Linked DNA regions of Caenorhabditis elegans. The protein of the gene in region 1 interacts with the protein of each later gene in a biochemical or structural test. Each region holds a gene or a part of one and is shown in the gene's direction. Other genes may lie near its edges.

The links. Proteins that work in one complex are often made in the same cells at the same time.
Region 2: the proteins of gpa-14 (region 1) and dop-2 form a complex in vitro, tested with the Caenorhabditis elegans proteins (one study listed by BioGRID).

Annotation. Positions count from the first base shown.
Region 1 is NC_003279.8:5,939,475-5,946,762, forward strand, and holds gpa-14 (Guanine nucleotide-binding protein alpha-14 subunit), read left to right. Parts: upstream 1-2,915; 5' UTR 2,916-2,944; coding exon 2,945-3,012; intron 3,013-3,098; coding exon 3,099-3,185; intron 3,186-3,352; coding exon 3,353-3,475; intron 3,476-4,234; coding exon 4,235-4,540; intron 4,541-4,588; coding exon 4,589-4,717; intron 4,718-4,874; coding exon 4,875-5,004; intron 5,005-5,406; coding exon 5,407-5,605; intron 5,606-5,831; coding exon 5,832-5,950; intron 5,951-5,997; coding exon 5,998-6,063; 3' UTR 6,064-6,177; downstream 6,178-7,288. Other genes in the region: B0207.7 (Protein kinase domain-containing protein), read right to left, coding at 6,283-6,331, 6,385-6,657, 6,712-6,833, 6,883-7,050. UniProt on the Caenorhabditis elegans protein: Guanine nucleotide-binding proteins (G proteins) are involved as modulators or transducers in various transmembrane signaling systems.
Region 2 is NC_003283.11:9,606,077-9,615,649, forward strand, and holds dop-2 (Dopamine receptor 2), read left to right. Parts: upstream 1-2,479; 5' UTR 2,480-2,503; coding exon 2,504-2,674; intron 2,675-3,153; coding exon 3,154-3,276; intron 3,277-3,330; exon of another isoform or gene 3,331-3,539; intron 3,540-4,418; coding exon 4,419-4,531; intron 4,532-4,744; coding exon 4,745-4,866; intron 4,867-4,920; coding exon 4,921-5,028; intron 5,029-5,078; coding exon 5,079-5,175; intron 5,176-5,220; coding exon 5,221-5,288; intron 5,289-5,889; coding exon 5,890-6,321; intron 6,322-6,655; coding exon 6,656-6,770; intron 6,771-7,216; coding exon 7,217-7,405; intron 7,406-7,451; coding exon 7,452-7,720; intron 7,721-7,765; coding exon 7,766-8,023; intron 8,024-8,110; coding exon 8,111-8,280; intron 8,281-8,356; coding exon 8,357-8,500; intron 8,501-8,550; coding exon 8,551-8,721; 3' UTR 8,722-8,861; downstream 8,862-9,573. UniProt on the Caenorhabditis elegans protein: G-protein coupled receptor which binds to the neurotransmitter dopamine with high affinity leading to the activation of an associated G-protein and downstream signaling pathways.

The DNA of each region.
Region 1 (7,288 bases):
CGAGATTTCTGAGAACACATTTTTATTTGAGAACTCATGCTAATTGCTGAACCGTTTTCTCCGATTTCTTCAAAAATCTCACATTTTTTGTCTGATTAAGAAAATTAAAGTTTCATTTTTCACTTGTGAATAACGCATCTTTTGAAATCAGAATGCAATCGCGCTCCAACGCCAAATAGAAAGACTCCGCCCCGATAATTTGGGTCTCGTTAGGTATTTGCGGAAAATACGTAAATGTATTATTTTTCCAAAATTTTCATTCAGTTTCGTTGATTTCACTCGTTTTCAATCATTTTTTCGTGAAATTTTGTTGTTCATTTTATTATAGCAAAATATAGCCAAAAATAGCCAAAAATTCGAAAATTCTATTAAACTAGGGTAATCGACGAAAATAGCCAAAAGTATGACTGGCGGAGCACTCTGATTCCAATGTTTGTGAACCTTATGATTTTTCAATTAATGAACCTGAAATTTCGACGTACTTAGCTAACTGAATAATCAATTAAAAATAGTCCAAGTAGTGACGTCTCACTTTTTTTCGAATGCGGATATTGAAAAATCAGCTGCTGCCGAATCGACAATCATCGATCTCCTAACACTCTTCTTACCTGAAACTTCTTGAGTCACGGTTATTTTCAACAAAAAATGATTTTTTTATGTGTTGGTTTCTGCGTTTATTCGTATTTGGAACTATGTAGAAGTCAAGTACGAACATGCAAAAACACGATACATAACCAAGATATGGGCGGAGTCTAATACATGCATCACACAATTGTTAGAAAAACAATTTTGATAATAAGTATTTTCTTAAAATATGCTCCTCCCATATCTTGCCTTTTTTTTTGGTGTTTCATTTTCTGAATTTTTTTGTACTTTTCTTTTTTCTCATTATACAAGATGTACGAAATAATAACTATCTTCGAGTAAATGATTATTTGAACTTTTAATTTTTATTCCTCTCTTCGTCTTCTTCTTCTTTTCTTCCTTCCGCTCCAAAGAATACTCACACCACATATCAGCATATTTTGTCGTTTTCCTTGTCTAGTTAAGACATTCATCTCGCTTTCATATTTCTCCGCTTCTTTTCATTTAACAGGTGCAATATTTTTTTTTTTCTATTAACAATAAGATTTTTTTTTCAATTTTTATTATTTCAACAAATAGGCATGTACCAACTTTGGCTGAATTGAAACTTTTAAAAGTTATTTTTCATTAAAAACTTTTTTTTAAAAAATCAATTTTTTACTTTGTTTGCCTATTCTGAACTGCCGAGAATTTTTTTATTTCCGAATAATAATTGGATTACGGTTACAAAACAGAGTTTTTATGACACGCCCGCGAAAAAAATCGAAGGTGAGTTTTCTTTCCTTGGTGTTTTTTTTTACTTTTTATATTTGCTTATTTCAAAGTCTGTAGAAATAATCCAAAGCGAAATTTATTGAAGACCATGATTTCTAGAAAAACACAATAATACTTTTTGTAGGGCAGATTTTTTGTTTTGAAATTGATTTCTACGCTGATCCATATTTGAGTAGAGGTCTATCAAAAACATTTATCACTTTAGATATCTCACTTTTCTCATAAAACTTTTTCTAAAAAATTACAATTCAATTGAAAATCAAATCACAAAAACTCAGAGTTTGGATTTTTGGTTCATACAAGTTGCAATTATTATATACATTTCCTATAAATTAACTTGTAGCCTTATCCATACTATAAACAATGTTTGTTTCTTTAAACACTTCACACTAACTTTTCTGATCGTTCTATAAATCTCGCAATTTCTTTCCAATTTTTCTTTCACATCTTTCTCTCATTTTTCAGAATATTTCTGTTTCCAATCCCAAAAACACAACACCCCTCTATGTCTCCATTTGGCGAGAACATAATTGAGTGACGCAAAGAAATTGGAAAATTGCCAATTGGATGTAGAGAAAACGAGAATGAGATACAGAATGGTGGCTTGAAAATAGGTGGAATTACTCACGGAGAGTAACAGAGTTGTGTTTTATGCACTTTCAGAAAATAAAAATGATACTGGTCTTCAAATTTTTTAAGTAAATTTTCGAATTTCTGCTGCATATTCCCCATTAAAAGTTGCATGATTTTGGGAGTATTTTTTGGGAGTATTTCGAAGCTGTACTTTACGGCAAACTAGCCTGAAACTCGCCATTTTTTTTCCAAAATTATTTGATAAAATTTAAATTTCAACGTTAAGTTCTTAGAATCAGATGTTCAAACTACTCATTTTTTAAGTCTGATCAACTCAAAACTTATCGACAATTAGACCTCTATGTATCAGTTTAAGTTATTTCTGTAGTTTTCATTTCGAAGTATGATAGTTTTTGATAGAAACAAATATTAGCATTTCTCTGTTTTACCTGGTGAACTTGCTAGGTGTGCATAAGCATTGGAAAACGTTCAAAATTCACAAACTGTAAAACCTGCACTCTATAAATTTGTAAAAATTTCAGTCATACTACTTTGTTGAAAGTATATCGATTTATATCTTTTATATTGTTTGTTGTTATTTTAAATTATGATCATTCTTTTGTTTCTACCATAAATTTTAATATTTATCTCGATTTCCCCGAGTTCCGTTTCAAAATTTCTTGTCTCTCGAGCGTTGAGCTCGAAACTGCTCATTAACGTTTTTCACGGCTCTCCGCCTCCTTCTTTTCACAATCCTCAACTACTATTTTCCATCTTTCGTTCTCTCTTATTTTTCAGTTTTATGACTGATAATATGTATAACTGGATGATATGAGTAGGTTATATCTCTGGAGTATTAATTAATTTCATGTTACTTAAGAGCCCTTCTTCTTACTTTTCCCCCACATTCTTCACAATCCACCTCCGCGTATACTATTTTCCGTGAATATTTTTGTGTTGGTCTTTATATCATTTTCGCCGTATTTCAGGACATTATAGTTGAGATTTATTAATGGCGTTTAGTTGTTTTGACAAGTTTAGTTACACGTATTGCTATCAATGTATGCATGGACCAGACGGGTAGGTCAAACATTTTTGATAAGCCAAAATGTAGATTAAGATGCAACTGTATTTTTATTATTAGTACGGAAACTTATAAAATTCAGGTGTATGGTACCCAGCCGAAATGGAGAAGGAACCGAATTGTATGCACATTCTGAAGAGCTTGAAGCAAAACTGAGAGAGCTTGCCAGGTAAATCAGAACACTTTCAAAAACAATTTTTTTTTGTTTTACAAGCCATGTAGCTTTTGCATTTGTCTTGAAGATTTGTGTTTCTAAATCAGAAGTGAATATCCCACTTTTTGATATTTCAGTCTGGTATTGTATTTTGAGCCGTTAACGTACATTTTATGTTTCAGAAGAGGGCATATGGAAATTGAAAAAGAATTAGCATTGGAAAAGAAAACGTATGGATCACATATCAAAATACTCATTCTTGGAGGACCTTTAAGTGGAAAGAGTACAATTTTTAAACAAATGCAGTGAGTTGAAGGTTGTAAGAAAGAACAAAAGTCATGAATGAAAAAAAAAAGTTTGAGATGTAATTTGGAAGATTTTAGCAGTTGGTAATGATATTCGAAGATGTGCATTCAACCAGCAAAATAAAATGAATTCCTATTGACTTTTTCAATATTTCCCACTATACTCACGAGCTGTTCAAGTTAAAAAAAATTTGTTATCATGAAAAATCTGATACTGCAAAAATAGAGAACTTTACCATGTCGAAGCATGTTGGAGTCGCATCTCACCCGCTTCTTCACTCTCTCCCTTCTTGCACCTGCAGCCTTGTGTGAAATTGCCGTTCACATGATTTTTTTAAAGACGGTCAGGCAAGGGAATGGCAGATGCGGGTGTAAAGTAAATAGTACCACGTGGAAGAGCTCGATCACAGCTTTGACATTGCGGACTAATGGTGCACACAACGCCAACGAGATCGGGTACAGTGGCCACATTACGACTTGCAGCCGGTCGTTACGTGCTCATTGCGATTGATGGTTTTGTGATGTGCATATTTGAGCTCACTGAAGGATTGTGCACATTTCAAATCAACTGGTGTACTCAATAGCTGCATTTTTTTAATTTCAGAACCACATTAAAATAAATGAAAGTTTGCAATGCGTGACTGGGTTTTGAAACCTGGGGTTACGGCTGGGTTTGGCAAAGATTTTAAATGTTTTGTAAGACTTTTGAAAATAAGATGCATGTACATGCGCACAATCTAAACGTATCTTTTTTCTCAGAATTATTCACGTCGACGGGTTCAAAACCGACCAAGAATTAATACAATATAGAGGACTTATTGATAACAATATAAGGGATATATATCTACAATTAATTGCTGGTTCACGTGTAGTTGGTATACCTCTGGATCCAATTGAACATATTACATATGAAATTGATGAAATCTATGCTCCAATGTCTGATGCATTTTCTGTTCGGACAATATCAGAACTTTTGGAACCTTTGACAGAGTTTTGGAATTCCAAACAAATTCAGGAGATTTATAAGAGAAGATGCGAGTTCGAGTTATTGGATTCAACTAAATAGTGAGTGATTATAGTATAGTTACAGATAAGTAATAATATAAATTTAAGTTATTTGGAGAATCTTACACGAATAGCTGACCCAACATATTTACCTAATCAGGAAGATATAGTTCATTCAAGAAAAGCCACGATGAGCATTAACAGCATTGTGTTTGAATACACTGGAGTCTCATTACTGTAAGTCTTTTTTTGCTTTTAATATAAATTTAAACCATTAAATGAGATGTGGAGAAGTATACATTTAGCGATTTTTATTGTTGAACATACACAATTTCTGGTTTAGCAACATCCTAGTGAAACTGAAAATTTTAGATTTTTTCCTCTTTTATTTCAGAATGATTGACGTGGGTGGTCAAAGATCGGAACGAAAGAAATGGTTGCATTTGTTTGATGATGCCAAGGTTGTACTTTTTGTGATTGATTTGACAGGTTATGCGAAAAGATCAGAAGAAAGTCGAATGGAGGTAAAATACTTCGAAACTTTTCAGTTTAAAATTTCTAGAACTTGGATATTGAGAATTGTAACATTTGTATTCAGTTTTTCTGGGCGGTAAAAATTTCCCATGCCAGTTTTTCATTGTGTATAAAAGTATAAGAAATATACCTTCTTCCTCCTATTCGAGGTGGATTGTGCTGCCTCCATTCTCTTTTCCTGTGCCCAGCCTTGTGTGCATTTTGTGAATTATATTCACGTTTTGCTGACTTGGGAGCAGACTGGTAGAATACCTAATAATACTAAATCAGTTCTAAAGACTATACTTTCAAAGTTTCAATTACTCAAGGAAAACATGAGTATAGTCTCAATCAGTTCAATTAAAAAAAACAATGTCTAGACATAAAATTCCCAATTGATCATATTTTTACAGCTAAGTCGATTTCCAAAATTCTTTCGAGACGTTGGATCAAATGCCTATGATATGAAAGTTGCACTCAAGATTTTCAATGAAGTTGCAGCAGCAAGTGCATTGGCAAACGCTGTATTTTTATTATTTTTTAACAAAGTTGACTTGTTCAAAGAAATTCTTTCACAGGTCAATCTTCAGCCTTGCTTTTCCAAATTTGACGGTAAGAAGCATTAAAATCAGGGCACGACATCGAATTTTGTTTATAAAAATGAAAGAACCAACTTTGCAATTTTTCTTTTACTATTAGTCACCAAGCTAAATAGAGAAAGTGATCGTAAATATTGTGAAGTCAACCGTATCAGCCTTTTTCTCAAATTCTAAATTTTTCGAATCTTGAATAATTTTTAAGCTCCAAAAAAAAATTAGTTTTACACAACAATTTTCAGGAGAGAATACTTACGAAGAGACGAGTAAATACATTTGTGAAAAGTTTATTCGAGCAGCTAGCTCGAAAAAATCAGTATTCCCCCATTTCACAACAGCAACAAACACGGAAAATGTTAAGGTAAGCGAAAATTACTGAGAAAAAAATTAATTTTTTTCTCATTTCAGTTAGTATTTCGCGCCTGCATGGAAAGTGTATTTAAAGCAAATGCAAAAGCAACGGGCCTTTCATAACTTCCTTTTAAAACATTAATTTCATTGTTTATCATAGACATTGTTCATTTCTACACATTTCATTAAATAAGTTTTTCGAATGAAAAAAAAAATGTAAAAAAACTATGAATTCAATATTCCCGAGTATCGATTTTTATCACACAAGTTGACGACAGAAGACGATCGTAAAATTAATCTGAAAAATAAAACTGAAAAAGTAAAATTTAAAATATTCCCAACCTAAAATGGCATCAAACGACTGAATGCTCGATTGAGTCCAGCGGCAAGTCTGAAATACTGAATATTCTCATTAAAAATGACATTTACCAAATTGAACAGTACCTCCCCAATTTCTTATCTTCCTGAGTGGCATCACTTTCAGTTCCAATTGTGACAACATTTGATTTCTCATTTTCATAACTATCCAAATCTGTTGTAGTGTCATCCGTATCTTCTTCCGAATCCGTATCATTGTTTAGAAAATGTTCTTCATAGAACGCAGATCCTTCTTCAAAATCCATTGGTTCAGATTCATCAATTTCAAGACGGGCATACATTTGTTGGAAATGGTTGAGCATCATTTGGTAGTCAGGAGTTGAGTCAAATTTAAGTTGGCTAAAAATTCCGACGAAATTTGGAAAATCAAGTTTCCCAAAAATTATAACTCACCGAATATGTTCATACATAAGAGCAATCTCGCGTGGACATTTGAAAAATAATTTTTTGCCAATCTTTTTCTTCATCTTGCTAACCAAAATTGTTTTATCCTCGTTATTCCATGGAAGGCTTCCCTGAAAATATTATTTGATTATAAACAGAAAAAATCAATCAAAATCTTACAAGGAACATTTCAACAGTTGAGTAAAGCCACGCCCACAAATCATCTCGTCTTCCCTGATCACATTCATCATGTGCATACGTGCTACAGTAATTGCTGGTGCCCATGAATCCTGGTGTTTTGCGAGCAGCTCGATGACGCATTGTGTTAGTAGAAGGGTCTAGTTCCAGCTGAAAAAAATCAGTTTCAGATACCGTATTTCTTATATTATAACTTTCTACTGCCGGTAAAACGATCGGTCTGAGAACGCTGTGATTCCGTTTTTCATATTACAAAATACACGGAAGACAAGGTCAGACTAAAAACCGCGATCTGTGATTGCTAGTGATACCATTTTAGTGTTCAGAGAGAGGGAGATCGTTCTATGAAAAAAAGACAATATGTAATCAACCGAGATATAATTCTTAA
Region 2 (9,573 bases), on another chromosome or scaffold:
CATCAAAACCTTTTTCAAGGATTCGTAAAATTACTATAAAGTTTGATATTAACAACAGTTAAAATTTTGCAATATTTGTACTGACAGTAAGTTCACTAATTTCAATAAAAACTTTGTTTAAATTTTTCTTTTTTATTTTGCCGTTGTTTTTGTTGTGAAAATTGACCAAAATTGATATTTGTATGTTATTATTCAAAAACTAAAAAAGAATCTCGCCAATACACTTTTATCATAAAACATCTTTTAAAACAAAACAATTAAACTACGAGTAGCCACAGTATTCTCAAACACTGTGATCTCCTGATATTGTTCTATATGGTGATAATTTATTATTTTATTTACACTAAAACGTGTGTGGCGTTATATTTTCCCATAACTAAACTTTATCAGAATTTCAGGAGATCAAACAAAGAAGGGACAATTAGACCACATGTGGTAAACTGTTAATGCCATTTTTTTACTCGTGATTAATAATTATCAGTGACAATTCAATTAAAGTATTCACCGAATGAGCACGTTAGACGAATTCTGTAAAATATGTTTAAAAACTTATTCCAAATAATAGTATTCTGCGAAATTATTTTTGTGATTTTATAAGTCACCGATATATAAATTTCATTACGCTGCTTTTGAGGTATGACTTTAGATTTGCGTGGTAGTAACTTATAAATGCTTGCCATAATCATGATGATGACAATTGTTATAGGTTGTCGAAATTTATTTAGAAGAATAAAATACTTGTCAACTGGAAAGAATACATTTCATTTTGAAACATACAGTTTTGTATATAATTTCGTAGATTGAATAAGCTTCCTGACCATAGACAAAAATCTCCGATACAACTTTGTGGTTACTAATTTAGAGTTAAATTAGTTTAGCTCCCTATTAGTATTCTCTAGTTACTTCCAACTATACAGCTTCGTTGCCTAATTGTCAAAATTTTTATGAGAACTATCTAAGCATTGACGTAGGTTTCATTAACTTGTTAACTCACGGTTGTATGAAACAAATTTCAGTTTTTAAAGTGTTTTCGATGTTTCTAACATTTCTTTCAAGAAACCCCATATTTTTGTTTGATCCGTGCACTAGATTAAAAAAAAAACCTTTACACTTTGGCTTTTTTCTGTTTTCATATAAATTTGATCTTGCTTTTTTACACTAGAGGTCCGAAAAAGTAACACCCAATTTAGAAAAATAGCCAAAACAGGAGGAACGGCTCGCAATTTATGTGCATTTTTTTGTGTCAACTCCACCCCAAGGCTTCTTCTTCTGCTACTTCTACATCTCTACGCCTGTCCTCCGCCCATCTCAAAGTTCGTTTATGTCTTGGGGACCGCATTTTCTCCGCCCCTTTACTCTTCGTTTTTTCTTTATTTAGTAAAGAAGAGATGTGGAAAAGATATTCATACTTTCCTTCCGTCTAAAATTCAACTGGCTTCTGAAGGTTTCTGCTCAGTCTAGGGCCACTTTTAATAGTTCACAAATAAACTATTGTTCAGTCTTGACAGAAGAAAAACATTCAATGACCTTAACTTTATTCCTTATTTTTGTCATTAGACATCTCGCACTTTGCTCTTTACTTCCTTGCCTATTTTCAAAAGACAACTCATCGTTGGACCCTTACCCCCCGAGATTCAAAAATTGAATATTCAATTGATGTGAAAGAAATCATCTGGGCTACCAGAGACGTGCCTCCTGGATTTCTTCTCTTTCTTGATAGATTTGGAGACATGAACCCCATCATTGCCAGACCTGCACTTTTAATTTTTTTTTCTTATTGGTGATTTTTGGGCTGCAATAACCTCAAAAACTATTTTTTTTTAAATGTTTGAAGGTCTTCCAAAATATTCATGACAGAAATACAATTGTTCGTGTTGGTTAATGTGCTGAAAGTCTATGTACAACTTTTGTAATTTCCACAATGACAACTTTTTTTCGTAGCTAAATTTCACATTTTGTGTGACTTCCCAACTTAATTTTATTATTTGTTGATCACTGATTTAGGATTAAGAGTAAGCTTAATGTGTGCTTTGTGTTAGAAATTTTAAATATTTTTAAAGATTTTACTTTAAGAGAGAATAATGATGTTTTTCAATGTTTAGTATTGATGTATCAAATACATTACGTTGACAGTCATCTGAGCATTGGTAAAGAATTTCAAACTTTGAGCGAAACACTTAGAACTTTCCAAGCAAATTATATTTTTCTAACTCTTCAGATTCTTTCTGTTATCGAGTCTAAAAAACTTCAAAATTCAATTCCATTTTTGAAGTGTTCCGTGCCTTTTTTAGTTTTAAAACATTCTGAGAAACTAAAATCTATTACGTTTCAGAAAGTAGGACCATTTGTAGAACTACTTACAGCAAAAAAACACTTGAAAATTTTTGTTCTTTACATTTTAGCATTAATCCTTGGAACACCTTTGTTTTTACCTTCTTCAAACCGTCTTGTTGGCTTAAAAAATGTAATAAAAAACTGTTTTAAGGTGATCCAACTCCAAAAAATGGAGGCCGGAGAGACATGGAATGTCTCCCTTGAATGGCCTCCACCCTCTCTTGATCTTTCAACAATCACACAAACACCATCAACGATAGTCGGAAGTGGAATTCCTTTGAACTACGCTGGACTTTCTCTTATTGTTATTCCACTCATCACGCTACTTGGAAACCTTCTGGTTAGTTAGAGTTCAATTGTCAGTTAAAAAATATATACAACTGTGTAATGTTACAGATAAAACTACTTGTTGATGTTTTTGATAAGAATGAAATCTTGAAAAATAAGAAATGTATCTTGATAGTCTAAAATTATCAAAGAAGAAAAAAAAATTTTGTCTCAAAACCCAGAAATTAGGGAGAAATCAGAAAACTTTTTTTTTTTCAAAAAATCGAAACATCAAACAACGAGTTCTTTTGTGCCTCAGTTCGTCTGACATTTAAAATCAATATGCCAAGATACTTCTTAAATTATCTTCGAAACGGTATCAAAATATTATTCAAAATTTGTGAACAAAGAACGATTCCTTGCGATTCTGGAGCAATGTCTTATAGATGTTCGTGTGAAACTCAGTTCCTCACATTTATTGTACATTTGGTTCAATTTCAAACTCCAAAGCACGTTCCAAAATAATAATAAAAAAGTATATTTTCTTTTCAGGTAATAATATCAGTACTCCGGTACCGAGCACTGCAATCAGCCATCAATTTCCTTATCCTAGGCCTGGCTGTGGCGGATCTTTTGGTGGCCATCATAGTTATGCCATACGCGGTTTATGTATATGTAAGTGATCAATTATATGTCTTTTGTTGGCAACCACAGCAACAGCTCTCCATAGCAGCATAGGCTCCCAATCTGCGTTTTCCTGAAGTGACGTGCTGTTCCACCTCTCTCTCTCTCTCTTTGCCTAACAAGGGAAACCGAGGTTGAGAAAAAACGAGAAAAGAGACATCAGCGACCAAGAGCAGTAATTTGTTGAGTGTCTCTCACAAGAGCTCCCGAGCTTTGCTCACACAGATTTATGGTTGTTTTCTGACGGTTGCCACGTCATAAGTTTTGGTAACTAGCTAACTAGTTGCAAACGTTGAAAGTCTCGTTGCATTTATAAATAGTACTAGAACACGTTGAAAATGAAAAAGAAAAGAACATCAAAGAGAAGAGACAAGACATGAAGCTGGTTGATGTAATCCCCTGACAGCTATCACATAACTCTATTGATGGACAGAGTGCCAAACGATACTTCTTTGTTAAGTTCCGTAGGTTTTCCCGTTGAAACAGAACTCTGCAAACTGACTTGACTTAAAAAGAATAGAAAAAGGGGCATGATGATGGATGGTACAAGGAGCGTGTGCGTGTGTGTGTGTGACGTGGAAATGAAGCCCAGTGGGGTGGAAAAGGGGAAAGAACGTGGTGTGAAAAGTGTCAAATTAGATGCACGGAAAGCCGTATTTATTGCTTCCTAGATCCTTCCAACCACGAAGGCTTTTCCTTTTTTTCCGGTAGATTAGAGAAAGCGTCAGGAGTGAAGAATAATGGAGAATTAGGGTAATGCGTATCAGATTCTGCAGAAAAAAGCAATTGAATAATAGACTTTGAAATTGTGTTTCAGTTGGGAAATTTCCATCGACAGTATAAATGAACACCATAATTACTATTGTAGTACAAAAACTAAAAATACCATATATTCTATTTTAGTGCTGCATCGCACTATTCCATTTTGGAAAGGTATATCTCGGTTTATTTTGAAGATATCAAAAATTACTGTTCTACAAAACTATAGAAAAAGAATTCAAAATGATTTATTCATTTGACAATTTTTAATAAAAGAAAAGATAACCGAAAGTAGTCAAAGCAATGGTGTACAGAAGTAAAGAATATACGTTATTCGTTTTTTCAACTGTCCATTAATTTTCCCTAATTTGCAGGTCACCAACGGCGACTGGTATCTAGGAAATCTAATGTGTGACATTTACATGGCATCTGATGTGTGCTGTAGCACAGCTTCTATTCTTCTTCTTGCCGTAATTTCATTCGATCGGTGAGTCGGGAGTTTCGAGTCATCTGAATAGAAAATGAACGTGTGGCTGTTATTCAACCAACCATTTTTTCTTTGTACTCATTTTTTGCATTCAGAATATGACGGGGAACAGCAAAGATCGTGGGAAAAATGTTAAGAGCATAAATCTAAGTATTTTGCTAAAATAAAAATGCACAGTTTTCTACAAAAAACTGAACTGTTCAATTATTTCAGATACCGTGCAGTCTCTTTACCAATTCAGTATTCAAGACAGTCACAAAATGTGAAACGGGTATGGACATTGATAGCTGTTATATGGTTGGTCAGCCTAACATTAGCCAGTCCAATGGTTTTTGGTTAGTTTCATACATATATCCTTTTAAAAAAAATCAAACTCTTCTGAATTGAAGGAGTAAACGTTCGTCCACCAGATGCTAACCCATACGAGTGTCGATTCTACAATGCTGAGTTTTCGATCCTCAGTTCTATGATCTCGTTTGTTATTCCTTGTTTTCTAGGTAAATTGAAAAGCCAAAAATGGTTTATTAAAATAGCTTCCCCGTTTCAGTACTTTTCGTCTATATTCGAATTATAATTGCTCTAAAAAAACGAGAAAAGGCAGCTAAAATGAGGAGAGAGAAGAACACAATTGCGCACGGTTTAACGTAAGATTTATTTGTTTACAATATTTGAAAATATTGAAATTACAGAATGAGGCCTGATACAGGCGAAGAGCAAGTTGACGAAGAAGCTGCAGGGCGTATTGTTGCTGGACCAGGTTAGTTTTCAAGTTTTTGTAAGATTGCATTCAGATGAGCGCACAAAAATTGACTAGGCTTTGATACTTTTTTAAGATTCATAGAAATTTCATAGAGAAGTGAAGTGAATTTTTCTCTTGAGTCGTATAACATAATTTATTTACTGATTTAACCTTTTTGCTTACAGTAATCTTATCGTAGCTTTTTGTGCAGCAGCGAAAACAGTTTCTGTGATTTTTCTTCTTTTCTATTAGTTTCAGATTAAAGCTTTAAATATTATATTTCAATGTCTTTCTCACGTTCTTTTTTTTTCAATTTTACTTCTCTCCTTCCACCTATTTTTTAAATTTTAGCAGTTTAGAATGAAAACTTTAACACATATGCACAATTTCCAACATTAACTACAAGACGAATTGAAAAGTTTTGAGACACACAACTTGGAAACTTATACCTTCCCCTAATATAGCTCAGTTTTGATACGATTTTCCCAAATTCCCTAGACATTTTTTAATTTCCGTTGAAAGTCGTTCATTTTTCAATCCTACATCAGCTCGAGCTAATTTAAGTTCTAGTCTTTCCTCTAAAATTATACTTTCCCTACACGTGTTTCGTCGTTTCCAGTGGTGAATGTCATGATGGCTGCTCTACCATCAATGACTCGTCGGATGAGACAATTCGAACGACATCGTCGCGCAATTGAACTCGCAGGTGATGAAGAATGGGAGGAAGATGAGCTGGACGTTATGGATGAGTGTTGTGGGGGTGACGATGCCGGTGACGATGATGATGATTATCATGCTGATAATGGACAGGGCGTCGTTGAGGCATCGGCACCTCGTACCACTTCCATGCTCCGAAGGATCATAAACGCAGCGTCTGTCGGAACAGCAAACTCGACTGCGCAGAGTGTTGCTTCAGCGTCCGGCATGCCTGCCTTCTTCGCCCAAAATATTTCCACCACCTCTCCGTCTTCTTCTTCGTGTGCTCGTACAACTACTACTACTTCTGCAATACCGAAGGCATCCGGTGATCTACCACTTCCTATGCTCCTGAGTATGTCGGAATTCATATATTCACATGTACTATCAACAGCACCGTTTCCTCATTTCTGCACAGACTATTGCACAACACGCTTCTACCACTTTCACTGATTTCTTATGTTCTTTCATTTTCCAGCTTCTCACTCACTATCACCTCAAGCTTGCAGAACGTTAGTTGCATGATTCATTATAGATAAAAAATGAAATATGGATATTTATTTGGAAAATAAAAATGTTTGCAGTGAAAACTAGCACGAAAGTTAACTCAGCTTGAGCATTTGGGAATTGCGTTGAGCATGATTTATATATTGTATTCCTTGAAAATATTCAACACAGTTTGGTTTCAGATGAAAGAGAATTTGGAAATAGTTCGACACCACGATCAAGTCTTGAATCACTTTCGGAAAATGTCAACGTGATTACAAATGATTTTGTGTCGGAGAATTGCACCACATTTTCAAGGTATGCATTGAAAATTTTACGAATATTTTAAATTTCGTCTCAAATGGACACTAAATTGCGCATCGATTGCTACTATTTTCGTAAAAATTTTGTAAAAATGTGAAAATATGCCACTAGAATGCAATTTATTCCAGAATATCTTTTTTCGAATTTTTTTCAGGGTTATTAGTACTTTTAATAACTAACTTTCTTGTGGCGACCCCTAAAAAACCACGCGCTTTTGGAAACACCATAAAATACTGCAAAATTACGGTAAAAACTACGTAGTAGCGAATTTGCAATAAATACATGAGAATAATTACACGAGAAGTGAAAGTGGTTTAGTTTTTCAACTTTTAAACCTATTTTTCACAATAGCTGTTGAACTTTTGTTGTCTGAAAATGTATTATTTTTGACTGAAGTATAACATATGTTTCTTCCCATATTTACTGATTAATTTTTTCAGAAGATCGTCATATGCTGACGACTCCCAACCAACATCGTCTCAAACTTCATCCGGAGATGGTCGAAGTTACAGTATCAAAGGACAAAAAAGATTTAGAAATTTGTCAAGAAACTATTCAACAAAACATCATAGAAAAGTAGTGAAAGTGAATAGAGGCAATTCTAGAAATAATTCAAGAACAGCATCAATGTAAGTATAGAGTTTGTTTGAAAATTTAATGAAATTCTGTTTGCAGAACAAATCAATCAGATGATGCATTGATTCCTGCAATTATTCGAACAATCTCTAGAAAAAGTCCCCGTTTATTCCGAAGAGATAAGACTGATATTAAAAAACATTCGATGATATTAGCCAATCCAATAACTGAACCTCCAAAGGAATACCGACGAGTATCAATGCCAATTCATCCAACAAATTCACAAACTGAAACTGAAACTATTTCTGCATCACGAGATATTGAAAATCTTCCCACTACGACAATTAGCAGAAGTACGACGGCAAATAGTGAGAATTATAAAGAATTTTGAAGAAAATTTATTTGTTTTTCAGGCGCAGAACTACTTGGATCACCAGATGATTTTGAAAAGTTTCCAGCGTTGATTACTGAAACAGTTTTAGAAGATGTATTAGCTGAAACAAGAGAAGGATGTTTTATGCAACCGACTGTTAGTTTTGCATTAACAGTTAGAGAAATGGAAGGAAATGCTTTGAATAATTTAAAAGGATGCAGTGTTGAATCGAGTCGACGTGTTTCGCAAGTTGATCCTCCCTTGGCCATTCAAATATTAACAAGACCCAGTTTACCACGTAAGTTTTTGAAATTCTTTTTTACATCAAAATATGTTTTTTTATTACATCAAAAAATGTTTTTTGAAACACTTCCGTACTTTGCAGATCTTGACCTCCAACGAATGGATTCAATTGGCACTACATGCTCATCAAAAACACGTGCCGATAGCTTAAGGTCCGTCGACTCGAAAGGCTCAAAGAAAAGCAATCGAAATGGGATTGCTGTCAAGTTGGTCAAGAGGGCTATCAAGCATGAGCATAGTTTGAAGAGGAAGGTAGGCGGATTTCACTTTATTCAGAAAGACATTCCAACTTTTTAGTGAAAAAGGGGTTTAAACACACAATTTCCAGGTCTCAAAAGCACAACGTAAAGAGAAACGAGCCACAAAGACATTGGGTGTTGTTGTTGGAGTATTTCTTGTGTGCTGGGTTCCATTCTTTGTTATTAATATTTTGAATGCAGTTTGCATTTTGCTCAATAAAGATTCGTGTCAGGTAAATGAGCTTTTCTCTTGATTCTTAATTCATATTTCTGAATTTCTCAGGTTGGCTATGATCTCTTCTTCTATTGTACGTGGATTGGTTACATGAATTCATTCATGAATCCCATTATCTATACAATCTTCAACACGGAATTCCGTCGTGCTTTCAAATCAATTATATTCGGCCGAAATTCAACACGCCACCATTTCAGTAACAAGCAGGCGCATGTCTAATATAACTTTTTTTCAATTTTCCATGGGTTTTTTGGGTGTTCGGGTCAACTGATGTTTATGATCTCTTAATTTAAAACTGAAACGATGTGCCAAAAGTTAGGAATTTTGTCTGATATGTACAAAATAAATATTTTAATTTTTCCCATTGAAATCTACCTCCACTTAAAGAGCTTCAATCAAACAATAATTAAGACGTTAACCTGATTAATTTGGGTTTAGTCGGAGTATAAAACCCGAATAATTTAGAGGCTACACCAATAACACACGGGTAACAAAGAGCATCGTCGCAGCTTTGAAAATAGTGGTTTTGGCCATTTTATGTCACGAAAGTTTACTACGATAGGTTGATGACATCTACATTTCAAACCCAAAGGTTGCAGCGATTTCCAGAGGTCAATACAAAAGTGCACAGCAAAATTGTAGAACCCTGATTTCTAGAGGAAAACAACAGTTCAAAAAACAAATTATTCCTATTGAAAACAATATTTCTCATAGAGAACCTCCTTGCTGAAGATCGATAGATTTTATTAAGAACAACGTCAATATGTGCAGATTTGAAAATTAATATGTAGTTGTAGAATTTTTCACATTACTTTGAAACAAGTTTTTCATATTTTGGAATAGGTGAACTTTACCAAGTCCCTTGTCAACCAAATCTAACTTTTGACAGCTTTTGCAAACAGCCCCTTCTATTCAAATAATTGATTGATAATCTGATTGTTGATCAATCTTTCTGCAAAAGAAAATCCCTCGGAAGAGTTCCGTCGCGGCAAAACTACAAGCGTAAGAGTCGGGTAATCATCAAAGATTATTGTGTATTGCGCAATCGTCCTGTGTACTTTTCTCCCATCA